Anolis sagrei: one gene and its partners. The protein of the gene in region 3 purifies or fractionates together with the protein of the main gene of each other region. This does not show direct contact. Links are inferred from orthologs where the notes say so. Each region holds a gene or a part of one and is shown on either strand. Other genes may lie near its edges.

What was found.
Region 1: the proteins of RAD18 (region 3) and SLF2 purify together in Homo sapiens (affinity purification with mass spectrometry; 3 studies listed by BioGRID and IntAct, with this or other methods). This does not show direct contact. The link is inferred for Anolis sagrei from reciprocal best matches to the Homo sapiens genes RAD18 and SLF2.
Region 2: the proteins of RAD18 (region 3) and POLH purify together in Homo sapiens (affinity purification with western blotting; 7 studies listed by BioGRID, with this or other methods). This does not show direct contact. The link is inferred for Anolis sagrei from reciprocal best matches to the Homo sapiens genes RAD18 and POLH.
Region 4: the proteins of RAD18 (region 3) and SLF1 purify together in Homo sapiens (affinity purification with mass spectrometry; 4 studies listed by BioGRID and IntAct, with this or other methods). This does not show direct contact. The link is inferred for Anolis sagrei from reciprocal best matches to the Homo sapiens genes RAD18 and SLF1.

What each region holds. Positions count from the first base shown.
Region 1 is NC_090023.1:215,161,735-215,168,698, reverse strand, and holds the start of SLF2 (SMC5-SMC6 complex localization factor protein 2), read right to left. Parts: upstream 3,020-6,964; 5' UTR 2,889-3,019; coding exon 2,767-2,888; intron 1-2,766. UniProt on the Homo sapiens protein: Plays a role in the DNA damage response (DDR) pathway by regulating postreplication repair of UV-damaged DNA and genomic stability maintenance.
Region 2 is NC_090021.1:49,690,849-49,698,057, forward strand, and holds the start of POLH (DNA polymerase eta), read right to left. Parts: upstream 3,025-7,209; 5' UTR 2,933-3,024; coding exon 2,796-2,932; intron 1,447-2,795; coding exon 1,312-1,446; intron 274-1,311; coding exon 56-273; intron 1-55. Other genes in the region: XPO5 (exportin-5), read left to right, coding at 6,280-6,384. UniProt on the Homo sapiens protein: DNA polymerase specifically involved in the DNA repair by translesion synthesis (TLS). Due to low processivity on both damaged and normal DNA, cooperates with the heterotetrameric (REV3L, REV7, POLD2 and POLD3) POLZ complex for complete bypass of DNA lesions.
Region 3 is NC_090022.1:49,336,106-49,343,028, reverse strand, and holds the start of RAD18 (E3 ubiquitin-protein ligase RAD18), read left to right. Parts: upstream 1-3,923; 5' UTR 3,924-3,995; coding exon 3,996-4,049; intron 4,050-6,923. UniProt on the Homo sapiens protein: E3 ubiquitin-protein ligase involved in postreplication repair of UV-damaged DNA. Postreplication repair functions in gap-filling of a daughter strand on replication of damaged DNA.
Region 4 is NC_090022.1:253,906,451-253,914,303, reverse strand, and holds the start of SLF1 (SMC5-SMC6 complex localization factor protein 1), read left to right. Parts: upstream 1-4,851; 5' UTR 4,852-4,936; intron 4,937-7,853. UniProt on the Homo sapiens protein: Plays a role in the DNA damage response (DDR) pathway by regulating postreplication repair of UV-damaged DNA and genomic stability maintenance.

The DNA of each region.
Region 1 (6,964 bases), on a different chromosome or scaffold from region 3:
TATATATATAAAAATGCTCTGTGCATAATGACTACCATAAAAACAAAAGAACCAATGAATGAAATCACACCAAATTTGACAACAAAATGTGTCACAACACAAAGAGTGACCATCACTCAAAAAATTATGATTTTGTCATTTGGGAGTTGTAGTTGCTGGGATTTATAGTTCACCTACAATCAAAGAGCATTCTGAACTCCATCAACGATGGAATTGAACCAAACTTGGCACACAGAACTCCCATGACCAACAGAAAATACTGGAAGGTTTTGGTGGGCATTGACCTTGAGTTTGGGACTTGTAGTTCACCTACATCCAGAGAGCACCGTGGACTCAAACAATAATGGATCTGGACCAAACTTGGCACAAGCACTCGATACGTCCAAATATGAACACAGATGGAGTTTGGGGGAAATAGACCTTGACATTTGGGAGTTGTAGTCACTGGGATTCACAGTTCACCTACAATCAAAGAGCATGCTGAACCCCACAAACGACAGAATCGGGGCAAACTTCTCACACAGAACCCTCATGACCAACAGAAAATACTTAAGGCCATCCAATCCAACTCCCTTCATCAGGGCAAGAAAACGTAATCAAAGTCCTCCTGACGAAGAGCCATCCAGCCATAGATAGGTAGATAGATATGATTCACACACACACAGATATAGTATCAGAGATTTGAAAGAGACTCCTGAAGAAGGACAATGATATGTTGCATGTTCCAGGGTGGGCAAACCAGACACTCTCCACATCAACACTGACAAAGAAACAGCAAGAAATACTGTTTACCCACAAGCATAAAGAAATTACATATATTAGAAACCAACACTTTCTCATTACTTTATTTTCCAGATCAACAGACAGGGCCACAGCAATGCGTGGCAGGGGATGGCTAGTATTTAATAAAAAATAAGACATACCCTGAAAATGAGCCATAGTGTGTCTTGAGGAAAAATAAATACAAGACAGTGTCTTATTTTCAGGGAAACCATGATATAAAAAGTTAATAACAATTGGTGAAAATGTAAAGTTTTCCCCTGGCATTAAGTCCAGTCGTGTCTGATTCTGGAGGGTGGTGCTCATCTCAGTTTTTAAGCCAAAGAGCCAGCATTGTCAATAGACGCGTCAAGGTCATGTGGCCGGCATGACTGCATGGAGCACTTACATGTTTTCGAACTGGTAGGTTGGCAGAAGCTGGGGCTAGCAACAGGAGCTCACTCCACTCCCTGGATTCGAACCGCCAAACTTTCGGTCAGCAAGTTCAGCAGCTCAGTGGTGGCACAGTGAGTTAAACCCTTGTGTCAGCAGGACTGAAGACCGACAGGCCACAGGTTCAAATCCTGGGAGAACGCGGATGAGCTCCCTCTGTCAACTCCAGCTCCCCATGTTGGGACATGAGAGAAGCCTCCCACAAGGATGGTAAAACATCTTGGAGTCTCCTATGCAACATCCTTGCAGACGGCCAATTCTCTCACACCAGAAGCTACGTGCGGTTTCTCGGATCGCTCCTGGCACACACACAAAAAGCAGTTTAATCTGCTGCGCCACCGGGGGCTCTCAACAATAGGTAGATGCTGGATAAAGATAGTTTCCTGTTATTGTCGAAAGCTTTCATGGCTGGAATCACTGGGTTGTTGTAGGTTTTTTCGGGCTATATGGCCATGTTCTAGAGGCATTCTCTCCTGACGTTTCGCCTGCATCTATGGCAAGCATCCTCAGAGGTATGGCCATGTTCTAGAGGCATTCTCTTCTGACGTTTTGCCTGCATTTATGGCAAGCATCCTCAGAGGTACCTCACTACCTCTGAGGATGCAGGTGAAACGTCAGAAGAGAATGCCTCTAGAACATGGCCGTATAGCCCGAAAAAACCTACAACAAGCCATATTTATTTATTTATTTATTTAAAGTACTTCTACCCCACCCTTCTCAACCCCCGAGGGGGGACTCAGGGCGGCTTACAAAAAGGCACAATTCGATGCCTACACAAAATACACATAATGTACAAAACCATAGTTAAAACAATTATCACAGTTAAAACAGTCGGTATATAACACATCAATAAAACTAATCTCATGCTCAGCGTTCGTCTTTCAGAGTTCCATAATTCCATTCCATTAGTCAATTCCTGTCCATCGTCAAAGTCCTTTCTTTATCTGCCAGATTGTCCTAATGCCTGGTCCCAAATCCATGTTTTCAATTTTTTCCTAAAGGACAGGAGGCATGTCGCTGATCTAATTTCCCCGGGGAGTGAATTCCACAGGCGGGGGGCCACCACCGAGAAGCCCCTGCTCCTTGTCCCTGCCAACCTCACTTGTGATAGAGGCGGGGTCGAGAGCAGCGCCTCCCCAGAAGATCTTAGACTCCAAGGTGGGACGTAGAGGTTTCCTGTTGCTTGAGAGTTCCAGTTAACTGAGAGTCTACTGTGATTTGGCACGACTTTGAACCATGGAATTACAGCAGAGCTTCCTGGCAGAGAAGACTAACCTTTGCTTTGCGTGGCTGCATCAACAGCTGAGGTTTGTAATTTAGAATACACTTTGACACCACTTTTACTGCCATGGCTTAATGCTATGGAATAATGGGAGTTGTAGTTTCGGATGCTCTTCAGCCTTCTCTGCCAGAGAAAGCTGATCCCCAAACTACAGGCCCTAGGATCGCCTAGCAAGCTTCCCTGGCAGTTCAAAGTGGTACAAAAGTGAGGAAAGGCTGCCTAGATTGTGCAAACAAGGGCGTTGCATGGGAAACCACACCTCTTGTGTTTACCTGCCAGCCTTGCCTTCTCGGCCCGCCGTTCGGCAATGGCGCCCGGCGGTGCTCAGGGGAGAGCGGTCAGGGTCGCTGCCCTTTCCCCCCTCGCCGGCGCCGTTGCTAAGATTCTGCGTCATAGCCCCCGACGTCGCCGCCTTTTGAGGAAACCTCAGGGTTCCGGCTGAGAGGAAACGAAACCCCCGCGCCTTCCGCACTCCATCGCGCAAAGGAGCGGAGCAAAGGGCTTCGGAAGGAAGAAGGGCCGCTATTGGTTGCGCTCAGGGGAGGGCTTCTTTTCTATAGGCTGATGTCACCACTTGAGGCGGGAGTAGAAACAGAAGCGCTGTTCCTATTGGTTGTTGGCGCAGAGGCGGTTCAGAGCCTCCTGTCTTGTGACCTCAAGCCGTCCTGTTTTTCCCTCAGAAGAGGGAGGAAAGGGAATTGGCTTCAAAAGGCCGCTCCTTGGCGCCTTCGGCTCGCGTCGCTTCTGATTGGCTGGCTGGAAAGCGCGCGGAGGATGAGCCTTTTAAAAGCTGTTGGAATAACGGCTGAAGCAGGCACATCTGACTTGGAGTGTTAATGCAGTTTGACGCCACTTTAACTGCCAAGGCTCAATGAAAGGACCAAGGCAGAGACATCTCCAGCTCATCCCCTGTTTGGGTATCAGCCAGCACGTCAACCACTTAAATCTAGATTTTCTAAGATCTACAGAGACACTCGCTGGAACACCTCAGCAAGTGAGGTGTTCCAACTCAGTATGCATGCTGCTGAGTATGCATGCCCAGACACATCTCACCACACTAAAACAGTGGATGTGGCTCTTAATGAGACATGCCACATTATCACGGGGTGTCTGCGCCCTACACCACTGGAGAAATTACACAGTCTAGCTGGTATCGCACCACCTGACATGCGCCGGGAAGTGGCAGCCAATAGTGAAAGGACCAAGGCAGAGACATCTCCAGCTCATTCCCTGTTTGGGTATCAGCCAGCACCTCAATGACTTAAATCTAGAAATAGTTTTCTAAGATCTACAGAGACACTCGCTGGAACACCTCAGCAAGCAAGAGTCCAAAAATGGCAGGCTCAAACCCAGGACCTCAACCAATGGCTGATACCAAATGAGAGACTCCCCCCTGGGCACACAGAAGACTGGGCGACTTGGAAGGCACCAAACAGGCTGCACTCTGGCACCAGGAGATGCAGAGCCAACCTTCAGAAATGGGGCTACAAAGTGGAATCCTTGACATGCGAGTGTGGAGAGGAGCAAACCACTGACCACCTGCTGCAATGCAACCTGAGCCCTGCCACATGCACAATGGAGGACCTTCTTGCAGCAACACCAGAAGCACTCCAAGTGGCCAGCTACTGGTCAAAGGACATTTAATCAACTACCAAACTCACACATTTTGTATTTTGTCTGTTTGTTTGCTTTGTTCTGTTAGAAATGTAATATAATTTGACTGGTTGTCCTGACACGACAAATAAAAATGAGGTGGAATCCTGAGAATTGAACTGTGGTGTTGGAGAAAAGTTCTGAGAGTGCCTTGGACAGCAAGAAGATCCAACCAGTCCTTACTTCAGGAAATAAAGCCTGACTGCTCATTGGAGGGAAGAATAGTAGAGGCCAAGATGAAGTACTTTGGCCACATCATGAGAAGAAAGGAAAGCTTAGAGAAGACTGATGCTGGGGAAAATGGAAGGAAAAAGGAAGAGGGGCCGACCAAGGGCAAGATGGATGGATGGTGTCCTTGAAGTGACTAGCTTGACCTTGAAGGAGCTGGGGGTGGTGACGACCGACAGGAAGCTCTGGCGTGGACTGGCCCATGAAGTCACGAGGAGTCAGAAACCACTGAACGAATGAACAACAACAAGACACAACATTCTCTGGCAGGGAAGGCTACAGACATTGTAAAAAAACCTCAACTCCTGTTGTTTATTTATCGTGTCTCAGGAGCGAACCAAACAGTTGTATTTTTTCAAAAAACCACAAAGTTTGCAAACTTGGCATTCTATTAAATGTCCTTTGACCAGTAGCTGGCCACTTGGAGTGCCTCTGGTGTTGCTGCAAGAAGGTCCTCCATTGTGCATGTGGCAGGGCTCAGGTTACATTGTAGTAGGTGGTCTGTGGTTTGCTCTTCTCCACACTCGCATGTCGTGGACTCCACTTTATGGCCCCATTTCTTAAGGTTGGCTCTGCATCTCGTGGTGCCAGAGCGCCTTCCAAGTTGCCCAGTTTTTTGTGTGCCCAGGGGGGAGTCTCTCATTTGGTATCAGCCATTGATTGAGGTTCTGGGTTTGTGCCTGCCACTTTTGGACTCTTGCTTGCTGAGGTGTTCCAGCGAGTGTCTCTGTAGATCTTAGAAAACTATTTCTTGATTTAAGTCGTTGGCGTGCTGGCTGATATCCAAATGGGATGGGCCGGAGATATCAATGCTTTGGTCCTTTCACTACTGGTTGCTACTTCCCAGCAGATGTCAGGTGGTGCAATACCAGCTAAACACTGTAATTTCTCCAGTGGTGTAGGGCACAGACACCCTGTGATAATGCAGCATGTCTCATTAAGAGCCACATTTACTGTTTTATTATGGTGAGATGTGTTCCACACTGGGCATGCATACTCAGCAGCAGAGTAGCAAAGTGCAAGGGAGATGTCTTCACTGTATCTGATTGTGATCCCTAGGTTGTGCCAGTCAGCTGGAGACCATGAATCCATACAAGGAGCGGCTTAAAGAGTTGGACATGTTTAGCATCCAGAAGAGAAGTTCGAGAGGAGGCATGATAGCCATGTTTAAATATCTGAATGGATGTCACAAGAAAGAGGGAGCAGGCTTGTTTGCTGCTGCCCTGGAGACTGACTCAATGGAGCAATGGGTGCAAATTACAGGAAAGGATATTCAGCTGAAACATTAGGAAGAACTTCCTGACTATAAGAGCTGTTCAACAGTGAAATCCCTGCCTTGGAGTGTGGTGGAGGCTCCTTCTTTGGAGGCTTTTAAAAGAGGCTGGATGGCCATCTGTCAGGTGTGCTTTGATTGTTCTTTTCCTGCTTGGCAGGGGATTGGACTGGATGGCCCATGTGGTCTCTCCCAACTCTGTTTCTACATTTATATGGCCTCTTCCAATCCCAGTTATATATCCATGCTTTGTGAGGTTAGCTACCTAGTCTGTAACTGTTTCATTAGTCTCACTGATGTGGAGATATTGGAAATATAGATATTTATACATATATTTTATGTACATTAGAAACACTGAAATGTAGAAAAATCAAGTTCTCTGTATTAGGAAGTCAAGCTGACAGCACAGAAAGAATGCTGACGTAGATCTGTGTTGAAAGGGGAGGAAAAGGGGGGTCATTATCTATACATTCCAGAAACTGGTACAGCTTAGCACTGGCTGTACCTTCTTACTTCTAAAAAGTAAGAAGTGGTGCTGTTTCTCTCCCTCCTGTAAGGTCAAAAGAAGGCACCTTGATGGATCTGTAGCTGAACCCTAGTATCTCTAATTTGCTGTAAGCTGCTCCTTAGATAGAAAAAACTGAGATGCCCCATGCATGTAAAAAGATATAAATTGATATTTCTATGATGCTTAAGGTGATGTAGTGATGATGTTACATATGTAGAAGCACGTTTCTTTGTTTGCCTGCATTTGAAGATGTATGAAAGGGAAGTCAATGCCTTTATCCTCACTCAGGTTTGCTCTTGGAGGAGATTCCATACCAGGGTCTCAGCTGAAAATAAAAACGTACTTTTCTGCCTCTCAAAAGGATCGCTCTTGGTATTATCTCTCCTATCAGCCGCAACATTATCAGGATTCATAATCTAAATTTCCATCCACAACCTCCTTGTGACTTTGTTCTAAGAGTAGAATCATATTTTCAGGATTTTTCAAATAAGGTCCTTGATCCCTATGCACTTTGATATTAGAAAAAGGTAATATAACAATGTTTGCCTTCAAATATTAGTTAGGATAGGACACAGGAACCTATAAGAATTGGCAAGGAATAGGTGTTGGAGCCCCGGTGGTGCAGTGGGTTAAACCACTGAGCTGCTGAGCTTGTTGACTGAAAGGTCGTAGGTTTGAATCCGGGGAGCGGCGTGAGCTTCCGCTTTCAGCCCCAACTTCTGCCAATCTAGCAGTTTGAAAACATGCAAATGTGAGTAGATCAATAGGTACTGCTCCAGCGGGAAGGTAACGGCGCTCCACGCAGTCA
Region 2 (7,209 bases), on a different chromosome or scaffold from region 3:
GGAACGGAAAGGCAAAGCAGAGCAATGGAATACCACGTCTGAAGCTATGGAATACCTTTATTATCTGCAGTCTCTTCTAATGCAAAGTTGTCTGGGAATCCTTCAACATAGGTAGTGGCCAATTGTTCTGCTTCAATAGATTGTCCCTTCATCTTTTGAAGCCTTTCATGTACAGCACTAGTTAAGTCCATATAGGCCTCATCAATGCTGGCTCGCTCAATCACAGCAAAGCGAGACATGACTTCCATCACTTCCACGCTTGCCTCTCGGTACCTATATCAGATAGGCACAAAATGATCCTTTAATATTCCTGTTGCACATTCTCTTACAATTGGATTATTATTAAGCAGTCAACCACTAGAAAATGAGATATATATGTGTGTGTGTGTGTGTGTGTTAGAGCTTCAATACTCTCCAAAACGACAGCACTTTCCCCTCATCAACTGCCAAGTATACTAAGATAATGAATAAGGATTGAATAAACTAGAATAAGTCCAATACACTATTTAAAAGAACACACTGGGAGATAAATTTTTGAATCCTAGGATATTGCTCAGTTAAAGCCAGACAACATGCATTATATCCTAGTTATGAATAACAGCTAAACATGCTTCGTAAAAACCACCTCATACTCAGAGCACGAAAGAGCAGCATTGATCAACTTCCTTCTCAAACTAGTTTTTACTCCAGATTATTTCACAATCCACATCAGATTTATTTATATTTATCGTGTCAGAAATGAACTGAGAATATAGTTATAATGTATAAAAAAACCCACAAAGTTAAAAACTTAGCATTATACTAAATTTCCTTTGACCAGAAGCTGGGCACTTCCAGTGACTCAGGTGTCACTTTAAGAAGGTCCTCCACTGTGCATGTAGCAGGCTCAGACTGACTGAATTGTAGTAAGTGGCCTGTGTTTGCTCTTCTCCACGCTCGCATGGCAATGCACTCCACTTAGTAGCCCCATTTCTTAAGACTGGCTTTGCATCTCATGGTGCCAGAGCGCAAGTCTGTTCAGTGTCTTCCAAGTCGCCCAATCTTCTGTCTGCACAGGAGGAAGTTTCTCATTTGGTCAGCCACTGATTGAGGTTCTGGGTTTTTACCTGTGACTTTTGTACTCTTGCTTGCTGAGGTGTTACTGCAAGTACCTCTATAAATCTTAGGAAGCTATTTCTTGATTTAAGGCTTGGCATGCTGGCTGATATCCGAACAGAGAATGGGCCAGAGATGTCATTGCCTTGGTCCTTTCATTACAGGCTGCTACCTAAGTTAATACCATCCAAGAGAAGCTATAACAACTAGACTTACCTGGTGAGGTCTGCTTTACCATGGGCCTCTGGCACTCGAGCCACCAGGAGATCTGGGCACAGCTTCTTGGCATCAACAGCCCACATGTTCCTGGTAACTCCAAAAGCACGTGCTTCATAGCTCACAGCAATTATTCTGAATTTGACACAGAAAGAAAAGGGGATGCAGCAACTACTGGGTTTTATGCCCTCCCACACTGCCACCCCCTTTCCTTGTGTATCAGTATTAGACTGTCAGCCTAAGGGCTGAGTACTGTCAAACAAATGCCCCATGAGGAGCTTCTGGGGGAAGTGAAGCCTGGATAAATGAAGGTTACTCCAGAATACAGGAGCAGAATTCAAAACGATCTTAACAGATTAGAGAGATGGGCCAAAACTAACAAAATGAAGCTCAACAAGATACAAGATACTCCACTTAGGAAGAAAAAATGAAATGCAATGATACAGAATGGGGGACGCGTGGCTTGAGAGCAGTACGTTGACAAGAAATGTTGACAAGCTGGAATGTGTTCAGAGGACGACGACTAAAATGATCAGGGGTCTGGAGAACAAGCCCTATGAGGAGTGGCTTAAAGAGCTGGGTATGTTTAGCCTGAAGAAGAGAAGGCTGAGAGGAGACATGACGGCCATGTATAAATATATAAGGGAAGTCATAGGGAGAAGGGAGCAAACTAGGACGTGGAACAATGGCTTCAAACTACAAGAAACTACCTTAACATGAGGAATAACTTCCTGTGAGAGTTGTCCAACTGTGGAACTCCCTGCCGTGAAGTGTGGTGGAGGCTCTTGTTTTGGGAGCTTTTAAACTGAGGCTGGATGGCCATCTGTCAGGGGTGCTTCGGATGTAATTTTCCTGCTTCTTGGCAGGGGGTTGGACTGGATGGCCCATGAAGTCTCTTCCAACTCTAGGATTCTATGATGTTGTTGTTCATTCGTTCAGTCGTCTCCGACGCTTCGTGACCTCATGGACCAGCCCACACCAGAGCTCCCTGTCGGCCGTCACCACCCCCAGCTCCTTCAAGGTCAGTCCAGTCACTTCAAGGATGCCATCCATCCATCTTGCCCTTGGATTCTATGATAGTCGTGTTTAAATATGTGAAAAGGATACCCTATTGGAGATTGGTTTCCACTGCTCCAGAGACTAAGGGTGTATCTGCTATGGATTCTTATGAGTTTTTGATGAAAATACGTTCAAAGCAGTCTTGACAGATGGCCATTCAATCTCTGCTTATAAACCTCCAGAGGACACTCCACCAAACTCAGAGGCAGCATATTCCACTGCCAAACAGCTCCTACCTAGGAGCTTTAAATTAGGCATGGGCCGACTTGGGCCCTCCCTCCAGGTGTTTTGGACTTCAACTTCCACAATTCCTAACAGCCGGTAGGCTGTTAGGAATTGTGGGAGTTGAAGTCCAAAACACCTGGAGGGAGGGCCCAAGTCGGCCCATGCCTGCTCCCATTGCCCAAGGGAGCCGAGGCACGTACCCGCCGCCCTTCCAGGTCTTGTACTGGGCCACGACGCAGGGCTTCCCGCGCAGACTGGGCTGCAGGCGCTGCTCCACTTGGATGTAGAAGCAATCCATGTCGGCCAGCGCCACCACCCGCTCCCGCCCGCGAGACATCCTCAGGAAAAGATTCAGAAAGTTCCTTCAGTGAGTGGAATTCCCGCCTTCTTTCTCCTCAGAGGCGGAAGGGAGGGAAGAAAAGGAAGTGACGCAACGCGCAGGTTGCAGCGTGGCTCCGCACGCTCTTGGAACGCAAGGAGAGAAACGGATCAAGGCGTCGCTGCAATGCCTGCTGGGAAATGGAGTCTTGAAGGGACATGTCAGGGTTCCACCACGCTGTAGTCGAGGAACTGTGATGACGTCATATTGGTTTCTTTCGTGACGCAGATATTCTTCGCCAAACTGTCTACATACAACATAAACATAGGAAAGTGGGAAGAAGACAAGCGATTCTTGCTGATTCTACAACGAAGAAGCAATGCAGTCTTTAACTCCCGGGGCTTAATGCTTTAGACTCGTGGGAGCTATAGTTTCCCAAGAGAGATCTGGATTCCAAAGGATTGGACCATGGGAAGGTCTTTGCACACAGCCATATAGCCCAAAATATCACGGCAGATAATCCACAATATTGGTTTGGACTGGATTATCTGAGTCCACACTGCAATATAATCCAATTCAATGTGGATTTTATACAGCTGTGTGGAAGATGTCGGAGTTCAAGTCATATCAAACTCTATTAATTCCACAGTGTAGGTTTATTTATTATTTATTTATTTACAACATTTCTATGCCGCCCTTTTCACCCGAAGGGGACTCAGGGTGGCTTACAAGTTATTTTATTTATTTATTTAGAGTTTTTATAACCCGGTCTTCTCAACCTCCGAGGAGGGACTCAGGCCGGCTAACAACATAAGATTCAATACAATAAGAAAAAACAGTATACATCATCAATATAAAATACATTAAAATACAATTCATACAATTCGTACAAGTTACAAAAAAGTTAGTTCGTCACAGTGAATCACAAATTCATCGCCATCCACCAGAAAGGTCAGCAGTTATTGACTCAGTCATCATTCTGCAAATGCATTATCCCAAAGCCATGTTTTTACCAGCTTTCTAAAAGTCAGGAGGGAAAAGGCAGATTTAATCTCCATCGGGAGGGAGTTCCAGAGCCGAGGGGCCACCACCGAAAAGGCCCTGTCCCTCGTTCCCACCAAACATGATTGCGAAGGAGGTGGGACCGAGAGCAGGGCCCCTCCAGAAGATCTTAACAACCTTGATGGTTCATAGGGGAGAAGCCATTCGGACAGATAAATAGGGCCGGAGCTGTTTAGGGATTAATATATGTACATACAATATATTATTAGCATCACACAATATTAGTATTATATATTACTATATTACACTATACCACTATACTGTAATATTAGTAACATTACATGTAATATGGAATATAAAATTATTAAATTGTATTATTAATAGTATTATATTGTATTACATTATACTATCAATATTATATGAGTATAAAATATTTATTTATTATTTATTAAAAACATTTATATTCCGCCCTTCTCACGCCAAAGGGGACTCAGGGCAGAGCACGACATATACACAGCAAATATTCAATGCTAGGACACAAATTCACATACAATACAATACAATGCTTAATAATCCAATTGTAAGAGAATATGCAATGGGAATATTAAAGGATCATTTTGTGCCTATCTGATATAGGTACCGAGAGGCAAGCGTGAAGGGAGTTCCATAGCCGGGGAGCAATCACCGAAAAGACCCTGTCTCTCGTCCCCACCAATCGTGCCTGTGACAATGGCGGGACGGAAAGCAGGGCCTCCCTGGAGGATCTTAATCTCCATGATGGTTCATAGGTTCATATATGATATTATTAGCACAGCACAATATTAGTATTATATATTACTATATTGTATTATACCACTGTACTATAATAATATTATTAGTAATATTATATGTAATATCTATATATATATAAATGCTCTGTGCATAATGAGTACCTTAAAAATAAAAGAACCAATGAACGAAATCACACCAAATTTGGCAACAAAATGTCTCACAACACAAGGAGTGACCATCACTCAAAAATTATAATTTTGTCATTTGGGAGTTGTAGTTGCTGGGATTTATAGTTCACCTATAATCAAAGAGCATTCTGAACTCCACCAACGATGGAATTGAACCAAACTTGGCACACAGGACTCCCCTGACCAACAGAAAACACTAGAAGGGTTGGTGGGCATTGGCCTTGGGTTTTGGAGTTGGAGGTCACCTACATCTTGAGAGCACTGTGGACTCAAACAATGATGGATCTGGACCAAACTTGGCACGAATACTGAAGACGCCCAAATATAAACACAGATAGAGTTTGGGGGAAATAGACCTTGACATTTGGGAGTTGTAGTTACTGGGATTTATAGTTCCCCTACAATCAAGGAGCATTCTGAACCCCACCAACGACAGAATTGGGGCAAACTTCCCACACAGAATCCTCATGACCAACAGAAAATACTGTTTTCTGGTGGTCTTTGGTGACCTTTATGACACCCCCTTGGTGACCCCCCTCCGGGGTCTTGATTTCCCAGGTTGAGAAATGCTGCCTTAAGGCCATCCATTCCAACTCCCTTCACCAGGGCAAGAAAACATAATCATAGCTCTCCTGACAAAGGGCCATCCAGCCATTCCCACACACACACACATATGTATATGACAGATGCAGTATCATAGATTTGAAAGGGACCCCTAAAGAAGGACAATGATATGTTGCATATTCCAGAGTTGGCAAACCAGACAATCTCCACATCAACACTGACAAAGAAACAGGAAGAAATACTGTTTACCCACAAGCAGAACGACATTACATATATTATAAACCAACACTTTCTCGTTACTTTATTTTCCAGATCAACAGACTGGGCCACAGCAACGCGTGGCAGGGGACCGCTAGTAAAATATATAATTATTATATTGTATTATTATTAGATGTAGTTGTATAGTGGAATAGTGGTATCCACGCTTTGACTTTGGCCTTGAAACCCCGTGGAGCTATTGCCACGACCTCTCTCTGGTGGTCGCAACTTGTAACTGCAGCTCTTTGCTCCAAATTTCTGACCGCATTCCAAAGGCCGCCTCCAGTCCAAAATAATGTAGACAGGACCCGGAAGCTCCGTGTCATCAACGGAGTGAGGCATTCTACTGGGCTAATTCTACGTTTCTAACTCAGAGCCGTCCAAGTTGTGGACGGTGCTTTGCGCAGGCTCAGTGGAGACAGTTTGGCTGCTGGCGCCTGCGCAGTGCTGCCTTTGGGCTTGTGTACCCGGCGCGGTGTGGCTCTCGGGTTCTCCCCCCCTGTGCCTGGTTGCCCGGGGCAACGGGGCCTACTTTCTCCTTCTTCTTGCCTCCCCCCGGATAGAGCCCCTCTCCTCGCCGCCATGTCTTGGGACCCCGTGAACACCCTCTGCGAGCAGCTGGTGAAGGCGGTCACGGTGATGATGGACCCGGCCTCCACGCAGCGGTACCGCCTGGAGGCCCTCAAGGTAGGGAAGGCCATCGAGATGCAGCAGATCTCCTCGCAGCTGCCTCCAGGCCCAAATAGTTCCCGTATCCCCGGCGCGAGTTCGAGCCCGCCCCGCAGGCCTCCAAGTGTCGGGTCGCCCCGTCCGTCCCCACGCCACCTTCACGTGTCCGCCTGGTTGAGTTTGCTGCAAGCTTGTTTGAGGGCTTCTGCAAGGGAGAAGGCGCCCCTCTTGCTTTGAAGGGACCCGGGGCCCGTCTGCACTGTGGGATGAATGCAGTTTGGCACCGAAATTCGTCAGCAGTTTCTTTTACCAGCTTCCACTTTTATTATGGCTTCTATTTTGTCTCCAGACTTGGATACAAGTCTGGTCAATGTTTATATATGATTTATATTAATTGTATTGTATTTTTTGTTTTTGTTTATTGCTTTTTGTTTTATTGATGTGTTGTTGGGCTTGGCCTCATGTAAGCTGCTCCGAGTCCCTTGGGGAGATGGTGGCGGGGTATAAATAAAGTATTATTATTATTATTATTATTATTTGTGATTTTTAGAAATAATGCTTTGAAGTAGCATATTTATATATATTTGTTGTGTGAGAAGCAAATTGAGAATGCAGGTATAATGTATTTAAAGCCACAAAGATTAAAACTTGGAATTATACTAAATTTCCTTTGGCCAGTATCTGGCCACTTGGAGTGCCTCTGGTGTTGCTGTGAGAAGGTACTCCACTGTGCATGTGGCAGGGCTCAGGCTGCATGGTAGTAAGTGGTAGTAAGTGGCCTGTGGTTTTATTCTTCTCCACACTCGCATGTCGAGGACTCCACTTTCTATCCCCAGCATCTCG
Region 3 (6,923 bases):
TTCAAGAAATCATTCCGTGCCTGTAAATACAAAGCTCTGCCCTTGAGAAGGCCAAGATCATTGCCCCCAAGGTGAGTTAACAGCACATCAGGTGCAGGACCGCCTCCAGCCCGGACAACAAAGGGATCAAACCATCCCACCTGAGGCCTCTTTTGCCACTCCATTCAACAAAAGCAAAGGCAGCCATGCCCTGATGCTGCCGCTCGGTCCAATAGATAAAGCTGTGGCCACAAATCAACACCCTTCTTCTATGGACCAGCAAACCTCCATCTGAAAAGACAAAACACTGTTATAATAAGGCAACAGGGCGGACGTACCCTTTGTAGGCACCCGACCTCCATCTCCCCGGGCTTTTGATCCTGTCCTGATCCAAACTCATGTAGGCAGCCATGAAGGTAGCTCGCATATGAAAGGAAAAAGTTGCACAATAAAGGTGTCCCAGCCCCAACAATTTAAGGATTTTTAGAGTTTTGACCAAACTTTATAATATTGTCAGTGGGCAACTGCCCCGATGAATAAACAGGCATCCTAGCGAGCTGCCTAGGACTGCAATAAACTGAATAATAATGACCCTAAAAGGGGCAAATATCACCATCACAAGCGGTACCAAGGAAAATACTTAGCCCCGTGCTCCCAGATCTGTTTTAGATGACCCGAAGAGGATCCGTAATTGCTGCTCAGTAATGCAAATGTCAGACAACATCAGTGTTTTTGCGATAAATCACTTTACTGACTCTGGAATAAGCCCGCTTATTCAACCCGCTTTTATATATATATATATATATATATATATATATATATATATATATATATATCTCCACCACAATTAGTCTCCTTGTAATCGAAATAAGCAAGAACCCAGACCAATATTGAAAGGTGTAAATGGTCAACCACACCGCACCAGCAATTATTGCTCCCTTCACATTGGCCTGTCACTACAGCACTATTATTGATCTAACCACATCTGCCTGTCATTTCATCCCATGTATGTAACACAGTATCTATCGATCTACCCACATCACCCTGTCATTTCGCTACACATTTATCTACTATGTATGTATATAAACCACCATACATATTGATCTACTTATAACTGCATGTTTTACCATTCCCATAAGTAGCACCTATCAATGTACCCACATTGTCCTGCGTTATTATTATTAATATTGATAGTAATATCTTGCTAAACCTTAGCATAATTGACATTACCCTTTGCCATATCACGTCCCGTCTATATATATATCCATGTATATATATATATATATATATCTATATCTATATCTATATCTTTATACATATAGTGTAGAATCTTTATCACCTATCTATACATAACTCTTTCTCTCTCTCTCTCTCTCTCTCTCTCTCTATATATATATATATATATATATAAAGTATTAAATTACACAGATATACCGGACCCTAAGATGGCTGCCTGCCATGCTAGGCACAAAATGGATGCCCCCTTAAAGGATGCCCCCTCCATCTTTGAAGGAGAGGGAAAGTTTCTTCCCTGGGCAGAGGGAAATGTCCAGGAAGCAAGGTTGATATTTAGAGGACTTAGGTGGTTGTTCCAAAGACAATGGATGTACGGGCATGAAGACAACAGGATTATATAAATGCAGAGTGTAGGATACCAGGGACAATGGGTGATGATCTCTCAATTCTGTTCACAAGCTGGCCAAATAAAGAAATATCCAAGGGCATGGCTGGTTTACATCAACGGCTAGTTCCCAGACTGTGCACAGGAAGCTTATCTGCTGGGTGTGTATGTCCATAATACCTGGGTGCTTTGTCATGCCCATGGTGTAGCATGACATGCTTCTGATGAAGACATTGAGAGAACTGTGAGATGCTGGTTGCGGAAACAGAGCGTTGACTTCTTCTGTGACAGCTTCAGAAAACTTGTTTATTGTTGGCAGAAATGTATCCAATTGTCTGGTTATTATGTGGAAAAGTTAATAGTGGTAGTTAAAGAGCACATTCTAAGGATTAAAATATTCCTATCCAAACCCAAGTGATGAAGGTGGAGGCATTACTTTTCATTCAACCCTCATACATTTAATAGAAGAGGCTGCAATAATGTTTCTCTTTTGGATAGTTAGTTGCTGCACACATATACATCTCTGGATCAGTTGATATTGTGCATGATTAAATGAAATCCTGATGGACCCCTTTGTCTAGGACAGTGGTTCTCAACCTGTGGGTCCCCAGGTGTTTTGGCCTATAACTCCCGAGAAATCCCAGTTTACCAGCTGTTGGGATTGCTCTTTGATTGTTAGTGAATTATAAATCCCAGGAACTACAACTCCCAAATATCAAGATTCTATTTTCCCCAAACTCCACCAGTGTTCACATTTGGGCATATTGAGTATTCGTGTAGAGTTTGGTCCAGATCCATCATTGTTTGAGTTCACAGTGATCTCTGGATGTAGGTGAACTACAACTCCAAAACCAAAGGGCACTTGTCCAGCAAACCCTTCCAGTATTTTCTGTTGATCATGGGAGAACTGTGCGCCAAGTTTGGTTCAATTCCATCGTTGGTGGGGTTCAGAATGCTCTTTGATTGTAGATGAACTATAAATCCCAGCAACTACAACTCCCAAATGACAAAATCAATTTTTTTGAGTGAAGGACATGCATTGGGTTGTTAGGTATCTTGTGTCCAAATTTGGTGTCAGGTCATCCAGTGGTTTTTGAGTTCTTTTAATCCCACAAACGAACATTACATTTTTTATTTATATAGATAGAAGATTGTCTTGTTAATTTTATGTTTATGTTGTTTACTTTGTATGTTTTGATGATGTTACTTGGAAACCGCTCTGAGTCCCCTCGGGGAGACAGAAAGGTATATAAATAAAGTTTTGTTGTTGTTGTTATATATTCATACAAATAAACAGATAAGTCTTTCAGGATCTGAAATTTAGGGAGGTACCTATACTATAGAATCAATGCAGTTTGACACCACTTAAATGCAAGATACTCCACTTTGGCAGGAAAAACGAAATGCAAAGATACAAAATGGGGGACGATGCCTGGCTCGAGAGCAGTACGTGTGAAAAAGATCTTGGAGTCCTCCTCGTGGACAACAAGTTAAACATGAGCCAACAATGTGATGTGGCGGCAAAAAAAGCCAATGGGATTTTGGCCTGCATTAATAGGAGCATAGTGTCTAGATCTAGGGAAGTAATGCTGCCCCTCTATTCTGCTTTGGTTAGACCACTCCTGGAATATTGTGTCCAATTCTGGGCACCACAATTCAAGAGGGATATTGACAAGCTGGAGTGTGTCCAGAGGAGGGCGACTAAAATGATCAAGAGTCTGGAGAACAAGCCCTATGAGGAGTGGCTTAAGGAGCTGGGCATGTTTAGCCTGAAGAAGAGGAGGCTGAGAGGGGATATGATAGCCATGTATAAATATGTGAGAGGAAGCCACAGGGAGGAGGGAGCGAACTTGTTTTCTGCTTCCTTGGAGACTAGGACGCAATGGATCAGTGGCTTCAAACTACAAGAGAGGAGATTCCATCTGAACACGAGGAAGAACTTCCTGACTGTGAGAGCCGTTCAGCAGTGAAACTCTCTGCCCCGGAAGCTTCTTTGGAAGCTTTTAAACAGAGGCTGGATGGCCATCTGTCAGGGGTGATTTGAATGCAACATTCCTGCTTCTTGGTTGGACTGGATGGCCCAGGAGGTCTCTTCCAACTCTTTGCTATGACTCTATAACTGCCCTGCTCAATGTTATTGAATCAAGAGAGTTGTAATTGGGCACCAGCACCTTTTGCCAAGGAAAGTTCAAGACCTTGCAAAACTATACCTCCCAGGATTCCAGAGTCCCTCCTTCCACTCTCGCTTTGATTCCAAGGAACTACATTACCCAGCAGCCTCTGCGGCGGGGCGGGAAGTGGCGTCTGCCTGGAGCCACGTGTCCTCCCTCCCGCGGGGAAGCCTCTGAGCGCGGGCGATTTGGAGCCCGGTGGGCGGGGAGAGGGCGGTTGGGCCATGTCTTCCTTCCCAGCAGGGTCGGCCTGGCCCCAGAGCCTTGGCCCACTGAAAGTAAGTAAGTGGGAGCACGGAGGGAGGTGGCTGCGGGACTGGGGGCGCCCCTTGTACAATGGACAGAGCTGATCGCAGCACTACATAGAGACCCCAGGTTCCAGAAGCATTCTCTCCTGACGTTTCACCCACATCGATGGCAGGCATCCTCAGAGGTTACTGGGTCTGTTGCAAACTAGGCAAGTGAGGTTTATATATCCGTGGAGTGTCTAGGGTGGGAAACATAACTCTTGTCTGTTTCGGGCAAGTGTGAATATTAAAATTGACCACCTTGATTAGCACTGAATGACTCTGCAGCTTCAAAGTCTGGCTGGTTACTGCCTGGGGAAGGGATCCAGCTAACAACTCCCAATAAAGGATTCCCCCAGGCAGCAATCAGCCAGGCTTTGAAGCTGCAAGGCCATTAAATGGTAATCAAGGTGGCCAATTTCAACATTCATACTTGCCTCAAACAGACAAGAGTTATTTTTCCCACCCTAGACACTAAACTTCACTTGCCTAGTTTTCAACACACCTCACAACCTCTGAAGATGCCTGCCATAGATGTGGGCAAAATGTCAGGAGAGAATGCTTCATATTTTTTGTTTGTCTTGATTTTACATGCTGCCCGCTGCATTGAATCCTTAAGCACCCCCGGCAGATGTCCATCCAGCCTCTGCTTAAGAATCTCCACCTCATTCTGAGCGCCATATCCCACAGCTGAACAGCTCCTACTGTGTTTCAGTGCAAAAGGAGGCTTCAGAACATGTGCAGAATGCTTTCCTCTCTCCGCTGTAGTCATTGCTCATGTTTGGGGTCAGATCATGCCTGGGCAAACTTGGTTCCTCCAGGTGTTTTGGACTTTGACTCCCTCAATTCCCAACAGACCACTATGAACCCTACCAATGTCGGATCAGGACCCTACTTGGCACACAGAGCCCCCATGACCCACTGCACATCTTGGTGCGGTTTGAACCACGGATGATGGGACTTGCAGTACCTTCACTCACTTCTATGGGCCACTGCGACCCTCACAAATGACAGACCTGGACCAAACTTGGCACACAGAAGGCCCATGACCCTGGGGAAGTATGAGGGAGGACGGTCCACGTATGATGGGATTTGCAGTACCTTCACCCTATTCAGCTTCAACAAACCACTACGATCCCCACAAATGACTGTTAGGAATTGAAGTCCAAAACACCTGGAGGGCCCAAGTTTGCCCAGACATAGTATAGATCTGTGAGCATTGCATTACAACTCTGGGAACTAGCAATGGAAACTCACAGGGTTGCTTTGGATAAGTTTGAGAAGCACTGCTTATGGAAACTCTAAGGTGAACTTACCACAGGGTTTTCTGACGCAAAGGGTGTGTGACTTGACTTTGGTTCACCCAGACGGAGAGGAGATTTGAACCCTGGTCTCCAGAGTCATAGTCCAACACTCAAACCACTACACCAGGCTGATTCTCATTTATATAAATACTAGCCATCCCGTGCCACGCGTTGCTCTGGCCCAGTCTGTGTATATGTGCTTTGTGTGTGTATATATTTGTGTCTATGCGTATTTTTGTGTGTGTGTGTTTATATATGTGGTTTTCCACATGCATTGTAATGTATTTTTTTATTTTTTGGTTTTTTAAGTCTCTTGCTGTGTTTTTCAGTGTTTTTATGAGTGACGGTCACTTGTTGGCCTGATACGTGTATTGTGTCCGAATTTTGTGTTAGTTCGTCCAGTGATTTTTTAGTTATGTTAATCCCACAAACGAATATTACATTTTTATTTATAGAGATGTATTACATACGTATTTGTAAAGCACTTTGGGGCTTGGCCTGGGAGATACATATATAAATATACTATATAAATATACTAGTGATGTCCGGGTTAGGTCTTTTTAATGCTATTTATAAGAAATAGTCATTGTTTGCTTTTTAAATGAATGCTCTGATTAGAAACTGCATAAGGATGTGGGTTTCTATACCTGTAACTCCCAAAGTTCAAGGTAAATTCCCGCCAAACTCTGCCAATATTCAAAGCTGGCCATGTTGGGTTTACGTGCCAAGTTTGGTCCAAATCCATAGTCTGTTGGGTTCATAGTGTTCTCTGGATGTTGGTGAGCTATAGCTCTTGGCTTCCAGGGTCAATTCCCCTCCAAACTTTGCCAGTATTCCAAGTTGGTAATACTTCATATGTGTGCCGTGTTTGATTGAGATCCATCATCGGTTGGTTTCACAGTGCTCTCTGGATTTGGGTGAACTGTAACTCCCAACTTCATGGGTCAATTCCCCCCAAACCCTGCTAGTATTCAGAGTTGGCCATGATCCATCTTCAGTTGGGTTAAGAGTGCTGTTGATTGTTGGTGAACTACAACTCTCAACATCAGAGATCAATTCCTCCCAAACACCATAAGTATTTAAAGTTGGTTATTGGGAGGGTCTTTGTGTCTGGTTTGGTTCAGATCCATCATTGGTGGGGGCTACAATGCTCTCTGGAAGTGGGAGCCATCTTGGAAATTGCTCACAATCATAGATAGATAAATAAATAAATAAATAGATAGAGCCACCCATCCAAGCATATTTTCCCTTTTATTGTAGATACAGATATATAGATACATGTTATTCTTCTTTATAATGTTTATTTATACTCCATTTTTCTCTCTCTCCACAAGGAGACTCATATATACATACAAACAGATAAATGAATGAATAAAGTAATGAATGGATGGTGCTGGATCTACACTGCCATATAATGCAGTTTGAATCTGCATTATATGGTCAGTGTACAGTCATATAATGTAGTTTAACTGCACTGAACTGCTGTTGTTCATTCGTTCAGTCGCTTTCAACTCTTCGTGACCTCATGGACCAGCCCACGCCAGAGCTCCCTGTCGGCTGT
Region 4 (7,853 bases), about 200 Mb from region 3:
CTCTGAGATTAGAGATTATTGTTTCTCCCAGGAAGTATGTTATCTAAGGCACACAGCCCACCAGGAACAGAAGTTTTAAGATATGATTTCAGCTAGTGATGTCAAGAAGCTTCCACACATTAACTTTCGTAAATTTTCTCTTGTTCCATCACCTGAATTTCTCTCACACATCTCTATTTAAAACAACAACAACATGCATTGTGATTAAGAATGCTTTTTTTGAGCACCTGGTTTTTTGTTTGCATCCTTCTCTGACTATGGAAATTCTGAAACAAACGTTTTAGGCTGACTTCTACTGTGGCCTGTGGACAGCTATAGCAGCCCACCACCATCCCTCTTTTTCTTATGAACACAAAGCAAAGAAACACTTGTTTCTCATAAGAGAATTTCATACTACTCCTTCATACACATACCAAATGCAAAATTCAATAGGTGTGGAGAGGCCACTGTATATGGCCACTGTCTAAAACTTTCGGAATTTGTTTAGAACTCCTGAAATTAACTTTCCTATTCTATAGGTCTAGTTCTGTATGAATTCTGCAATGAAGCATGACTCTGAAGAACTAAAATGAACTTTATCATAGGATGAAAGTTTAACTATTTTTACAAAAAGACATTATACATAGATCATAGAAAGTTTATTTTTTAAATGAAATCAGTGAATTGTTATGTTAATAATTTTATTTCTCAAGTTATGTTGATTGATGATTTACTGTGTTTGAATAGGCAAAGAGCATTTGCTCCACAGCCTCCAAAAATTCTTCCACAAACTGTTGGGTGTCATCTTTGATATTTATCACCATGTAAGCACTTTTGTTTATCCATTCAGTCACTTCCGACTCTTTGTGACCTCATGGACCAGTCCACACCAGAGCTCCCTGTCGGCCATCACCATCCTCAGCTCCTTCACAGTCAAGCCACTTCAAGGATACCATCCATCCATTTTGCCATTCGCCGGCCCCTCTTTCATTTTCCTTCCATTTTCCCCAGCATCATTGTCTTCTCCTGTTTTCTTATGATGTGGCCAAAGTACTTCAACTTTGGCTCCAACCCTAAGAACTGCAGTGCTACTTTCCATCCCCAAAATAGAGAACATGTATCATCATGTGTGCACAATCATGTTTTTTTTACTGCATCACATCCACAATCACAAGTCAGAACTGTTCTGTCAAACCAAGCCAATAATAAGTGCAGTAAATATAGTAGCAAGACCATCATCATTTGGAGCATTAGATTCTTCTAAAAGGATCCCTGTGAGCAGTCCAAGAAGCAGTCACCTGGCTAAAGTGTTAAACAGTTGAGCATTCCCTATCTGGAATCCCAAACTCAGTAGACTCTCTGTTAATTAACGGAAGCAACTAGAACTCCCAAATAGCAAAAGTTTGACTGCCATTTAATTAAAATTGCATACTGCATTCACAAAGCTGTTTTTATAATTAAGTAAAAGTGTGTTACCTTAAAATAAGTTTGCCTTTGTCTTACCTTGTTTCTAATTACTGTATTTCAATATTAATATCATGTCAACACTGAGTTTATAGTGTCGTATAATATTGTATATAGTATCAGGCCTATTTTAATAGTAACTCTCAAGCAACCAGAAACCATATTTATTCAGTGCTACCAATCTTCATAGGTGTCAATTAATTGAGTCCAATATTCAAAATTCCCCACATGGATAGCTGACATAGTGACACATTTGCTTTCTGATTATTCAACATAAACACACCTCATTTCATGCACAGTATTACTAAAAATGTAGTATAAAATTGCAGTGGGTCCTTCATATCCACTGGAGTGGATATGCACCTTGCCCCCACCCCCCAAACCCATGTATGCTCAAGTCCCATTAAACACATTCATGTAATGAAATGCTTTCCTGTATATAATATGGTAAAATCAAGGTTTGCTTTACAAAAACAAAAACAAAAAAAGGGGGGGGGCTGCTTTCAAGTCATGGATGACTGAATCTGTGGATACAGAGAGATGACTGTACCTTACACGATGTGTGCATGAAGCACACATTAATTTTGTGTTTTAGACTTAAATCCTATCTACAAAACAACTTATTATTATGTAAAAATATGGAAGTATAAGTATTCCAATGAGGGGATCCAAAATATCCAAGCATTTCTGATAAGGGATACTTGACTTGTACAAGATCTATAATTAGCACTTTTGCTACTAGTAGAGCAGTACCACTGAGAAGTCACAGCTTTGTGTCCCCTTTATGGCTCTCAGCACAAGTCTATACTTAGACATAATCTCCTTTAAACTCAATGGGATTTACTCAGGAATTGAAAATACACAATGCAACAACTGAGTGGCCACAATAACTTCAGCTGACTTCCAAAGAGAGTAGCAGTGAATGCCCAGGAAATTTGAAAAAGTACGCCAGTTATAATAATGATAATAATAACCTTTATTTATATGTTGCTTTTCTCCCACAATGAAGACCCAATGTTGTTTCCAACATTTTAAAATACAATACAAAATCAACCACTCTCAACATATAAACATTGTAAACAATCACATAGTACATAAACAAACCTTTAAAACAATATACATTGTTTTGTCCTGTTATATCTTATTGCATTAGTTCCCCTTATGTTACCTATTAGGGCAGTGGCTCCCAACCTTGTTTTGCCCCTGTCCCACCTAAGCATCTAAATTCCTGATTCCCCCCCCCCCCCCCCCCCGCCCTCGACATATAGTTCTGATTATTAAAAAAGTGAAATCCTATTTAGGTGGAGGAAACTTTAAAGGCCTTTTTATGAGTGATGGTCACTTGTTGGCCTGATAGGTGTGTTGTATCCACATTTGGTGTCAATCTGTCCAATGGTTTTTGAGTTATGTTAATCCCACAAACGGACATTACATTTTTATTTATATAGATTTACAGTATTTATATAACACTTTTCTCACCCCTGGGGGGACTCAAAGCAGTTTACAAAAAATAATGGCAAAATTCAATGCCTTACATACATAAACCAAATCATAAATCGAACAGCATATGCCTAAGCATAAAATGCAATACAACAAATTTGCCGTAAGATAATAGGACATTCAAGCACAAAGTATAAAAATTGAAAACACCTAATAAAAACATTAAAATCACATGATCCAAACTCGTAGACCAGGTCATTCCAGATTATTTAATGTATTTATATGCATTGTTTTATGATTTTTTTATTATTTTAATGCACAATGTATTTGTATGTTTTATGTTGTAATGCGGCACTGAATATTGCCAATTTGGAAGCTGCTCTGAAGCCCCTTCCACAGAACTGAATAAAACTCAACATTATCTGCTTTGAACTGGGATATAGGACAGTGTGGACTAAGATAACTCAGTTCAAAGCAGATATTCTAGGTTATATGGCTGTGTGGAAGGGTTCTGAGTCTCCTCTGGGGTTGAGATAGAGCAGGGATAAAAATGTAGTAAATAAATAAAGTCTTGAGTTTTCTCTGCCACACCATGCCACACCAAACTACAACTCCCATTGTATTGACCCATGGCAGTTAAAAGTGGTGTCAAACAGCATTCATTCTCAAGCAGGAATGGGCAGATTGTGAAATTGTGTGAGTTGAAATCCAAAACATCTAGAGGGTGAAAGTTTGCCCATGCTTGGTGTAAATGCTTCACGACAGAATAATAATAATAATAATAATAATAATAATAATAATAGCGACCATTAGAACAAATGCCATCAAAGCCAGGATTGAAAAGTCTATGACAGATCCCAAATGTAGACTCTGCAAGGAAGCAGATGAAACAGTAGATCACATCCTCAGCTGCTGCAAGAAGATTGTGCAGACCGACTACAAGCAGAGGCACAACACCGTTGCTCAGATGATTCATTGCAACCTGTGCCACAAACACCATCTGCCTGCGACAAAAAACTGGTGGGATCACAAGCCAGAAAAAGTTACAGAGAATGAACACATCAAACTCCTCTGGGACTTTCATATTCAGACAGAGTTTTGGAGCACACTACTCCTGACCTCAAAATCCTGTTAAAAAACAAAGTATGAATCGTTGATGTCGCAATCCCAGGCGACAGCAGGATTGAAGAGAAACAACTGGAAAAGCTGACATGATATGTGGACTCATCTTATTGTGTTTCTAATAATAATAATAATAATAATAATAATAATAATGGTATAATAATAATAATAATACATCACACAGTCCGAGACACTTGGGAGGTGTCCGACATGTGATCCAATACAACAGCCAGCAGAGTGATCTTGTTTGCTGTGGACTCATCTTATTGTGTTTCTAATAATAATAATAATAGTAATAATAATAACAACAATAATAATGAAGGAATAATAATAATAATAATAATAATAATAATAATACATCACACAGTCCTAGCCGCTTGGGAAGTATTTGACTTGTGATTTTGTGACACGAAATCCAGCATATAGATCTCGTTTGCTGTGACATACTGTTATTTTTGTGTCAGTAAAATAATAATGATAATAATAATAATAATAGTAAGCCCCCGTAGAGAAGCTCCAGCGCTGGAGAATCAACACCCACTCGAGGCCAGGGATTCCTGGGAGTTGCAGTTGTGTGAGGCGGCAAGACTTTGGGGCAGAGAAGGCGGGAGGCCTTGTCAAACTACAACTCCCGTGACTGTACAGCCTGGAGCCATGGCGGTGGAAGCTGAGGTCTCCCCTTGGCGTCCCCCGTTCCTCCTCCCTCGGGTGCCACTTACCCACTAGGCCGCGCCCGCTCCCTTCTCACTCGGGCGCCACGGAGACCGGCCGGCGTCGCTGACAACGGGCCGGAAGTCCTGGGCTCCACTTCCGGGGGCGGGGCTTCATCTCCCCGAGCCCGCCAACCAGGAGGACGCGGAAGCGGGAAAGGGAGAGAGAGGAAGAGAGAGAGAGGGAGAGAAGAGCCGGGCGAGGTGGTCCTCCTAAGAAGGTAAAAGGCGCGGAGCTGGGCATGTGCGTTTTGCTGGCTTTCGGGTTGCGCTTGGGAGAGGGCCTCTTGGCCTGGCTTAGGGCTACGCTACAGCAGGGATGCAGCATGGCACTCCTTTCATTGATATGGAGCAAAAGGAAAGGGCTTGTGGCTGTTCGGAATGGTGGCAGATGAAGTCCAAAACACCCGGAGAGAGGGCCCAAGTTGGCCCATGCCTGGTGTAGACGAAGAGTACAATAGCGTCCCTTATATATACAGAACCTGGCTTCCATATTATTCTGTAGTACAGCCAGGCCTGTAGCGAGGGGGGGATGGGGGGGGGGTTAGGGGTTCAACCCCCCCCCTCCCGAAATGTTTCAGATTTTTTTTTTTTTTAAAAACCCAGTTTACTCATGAATTTTAACTGGTTAACCAAATCCGCATGCTAAGTCTATGAGATGCAAAAAAATTAAGAGTCCCTCCAGAACTGCAAACACTATCTCAAGCCAATATTTATTTATTATTTACCTTATTTATTTATTTACCTTACTTATATACTGCTGTTCTCAGCCCGAAGGCAACTCACAGCGGTTCACAACAAATACGAACAGCAAAAATTCAGTGCTACAGTATAGAAACAGTTAACAACCTAACACATTACACAATTAATAAACAGTTACTACAATACCCATTCACTGTCGTCTCGTCATCAAAAACATGTTCCAGATTCGTCATCCATTGTTCCATTCCAATGTTCATTAACCAATCATTGCACTAATTATTGGAACGCCTGCTCAAACAGCCAGGTCTTCACTTTTTTGCGGAATACCATTAGAGATGGTGCTAGTCTAATGTCCGTAGGAAGGGCGTTCCACAGCCGATGAGCCACCACCAAGAAGGCCCTATCTCTCGTCCCCGCCAGCCGAGCTTGAGAAGCAGGCGGGATCAAGAGCAGGGTCTCCCTGGAAGATCTCAAAGTCCTGGTGGGTTCATAGGCAGAGATGCGGTCGGATAGGTAGCTTGGGCCCGAACCATTTAGGGCTTTAAAGGCCAACGCCAGCACTTTGAATTCAGCCCAGTAGCAGATCGGTAGCCAGTGGAGTTGGCACAACAGGGGGGTTGTATGTTCCCTGCGCTCCGCTCCTGTTAAAATCATGGCTGCCGAGCGTTGGACTAGTTGGAGCTTCCGAGCTGTCTTCAAAGGCAACCCCACGTAGAGAGCGTTGCAGTAGTCTAAACGGGATGTAACCAGAGCGTGGACTACTGTGGCCAAGTTATTCTAACTTATATGCCGCCACTCCCCTGGGGTTCGGAGCGGCTTACAAGAACAGGCTAAAATCAAACACAATTGAAAAACAATTTAAAACAATTTAAAAACAGCAATATCAGAGATCAAAGTCCCGTCGAAACAGATATGTCTTACATGCCCTGCGGAAAGCTGATAAGTCCCGCAAGGCACGGACTTCAGGTGGCAGAGTATTCCAGAGTGATGGTGCCACTGCTGTAAAGGCTCTGCGTCTGGTTGCTGTTAGACACAAGGTCTTGACACTGGGAATTTCCAATAGATCATGGTCCTCAGAACGGACGGATCTCTGGGGTTGGTAGGGGGTGAGGCGGTCCCTCAGGTACATCGGCCCCAGACCATGCAAGGCCTTAAATATTGACAATTTATTCACACTGTCATTACTTGCAGGAATAGCCGATGTAGTGAAGCAACCAAGTTGGTTGTGTGTGTGTTGAATGCTCTCATTAAGGAGGCCAGACTTGGTGGAGATGGTTGACAGGGGCGGAGCTGCAGGCTATTGAAGGCTGCTCTGCCCCTGTTGTGCTCTTTGCTTCAGCGTGAGCTAGAAGGCAGGTTTCAACACATACACCCCCCGCAAAATTTTCAACTTCCCTCCCCCAAAAATTTCAACCCATCCCGAATTTTTTTTCTGGCTACGGCCCTGAGTACAGCGGAAGGAATAGGTTTGTATTCACAAAAGATCGTGCTAAAATAAAATCAAGTTAGATTTAAGGGTGCTGCCACATTTCCTGTTCTCCCTCCTTCTTGTATTATGCTCCACATAAACATTAAAAAAACCAAGATTATGGCAACAAGAATGATTGACAACTGGAAAATAGAGGGAGAAAATGTGGAGGCCATGACAGACTTTGTATTTCTAGGTGCAAAGATTACTGCAGACGCAGACTGCGGCCAGGAAATCAGGAAACGCTTACTTCTTGGGAGGAGAGCAATGTCCAGTCTCGATAAAATAGTAAAGAGTAGAGACATCAGACTGGCAACAAAGATCCGCCTAGTCAAAGCCATGGTATTCCCTGTAGTAACCTACGGATGTGAGAGCTGAACCTTAGGAAAGGCTGAGCGAAGGAAGATCGATGCTTTTGAGCTGTGGTGTTGGAGGAAAGTTTAGAGAGTGCCTTGGACTGCGAGAAGATCCAACCAGTCCATCCTCCAGGAAATAAAGCCAGGCTGCTCATTGGAGGGAAGGATACTAGAGACAAAGTTGAAGTACTTTGGCCACATCATGAGGAGACAGCAAAGCCTAAGAAGACAATTATGCTGGGGAAAGTGGAAGGCAAAAGGAAGAGGGGCCGACCAAGGACAAGATGGATGGATGGCATCCTTGAAGTGACTGGACTGACCTTGAAGGAGCAGGGGGTGGTGACGGCCGACAGGGAGCTCTGGCGTGGGCTGGTCCATGAGGTTACGAAGAGTCAGAGAGGACTGAACGAATGAACAACAAACAGAGTTGGAAGAGACCTCATGGGTAGGGCCATAGCCAGAAAAAAAAAATCGGGGAGGGTTGAAACTTTTTTTTAGCAAATCATGAAGAGTAGTTCGATAACACAACAACATTTTTAATACAGTCCAAAGATCCTTATTGCTCCGTAAAAGGTAGAAGATACAAGGTATGCAAGGTTAGTAAGGCCAAAA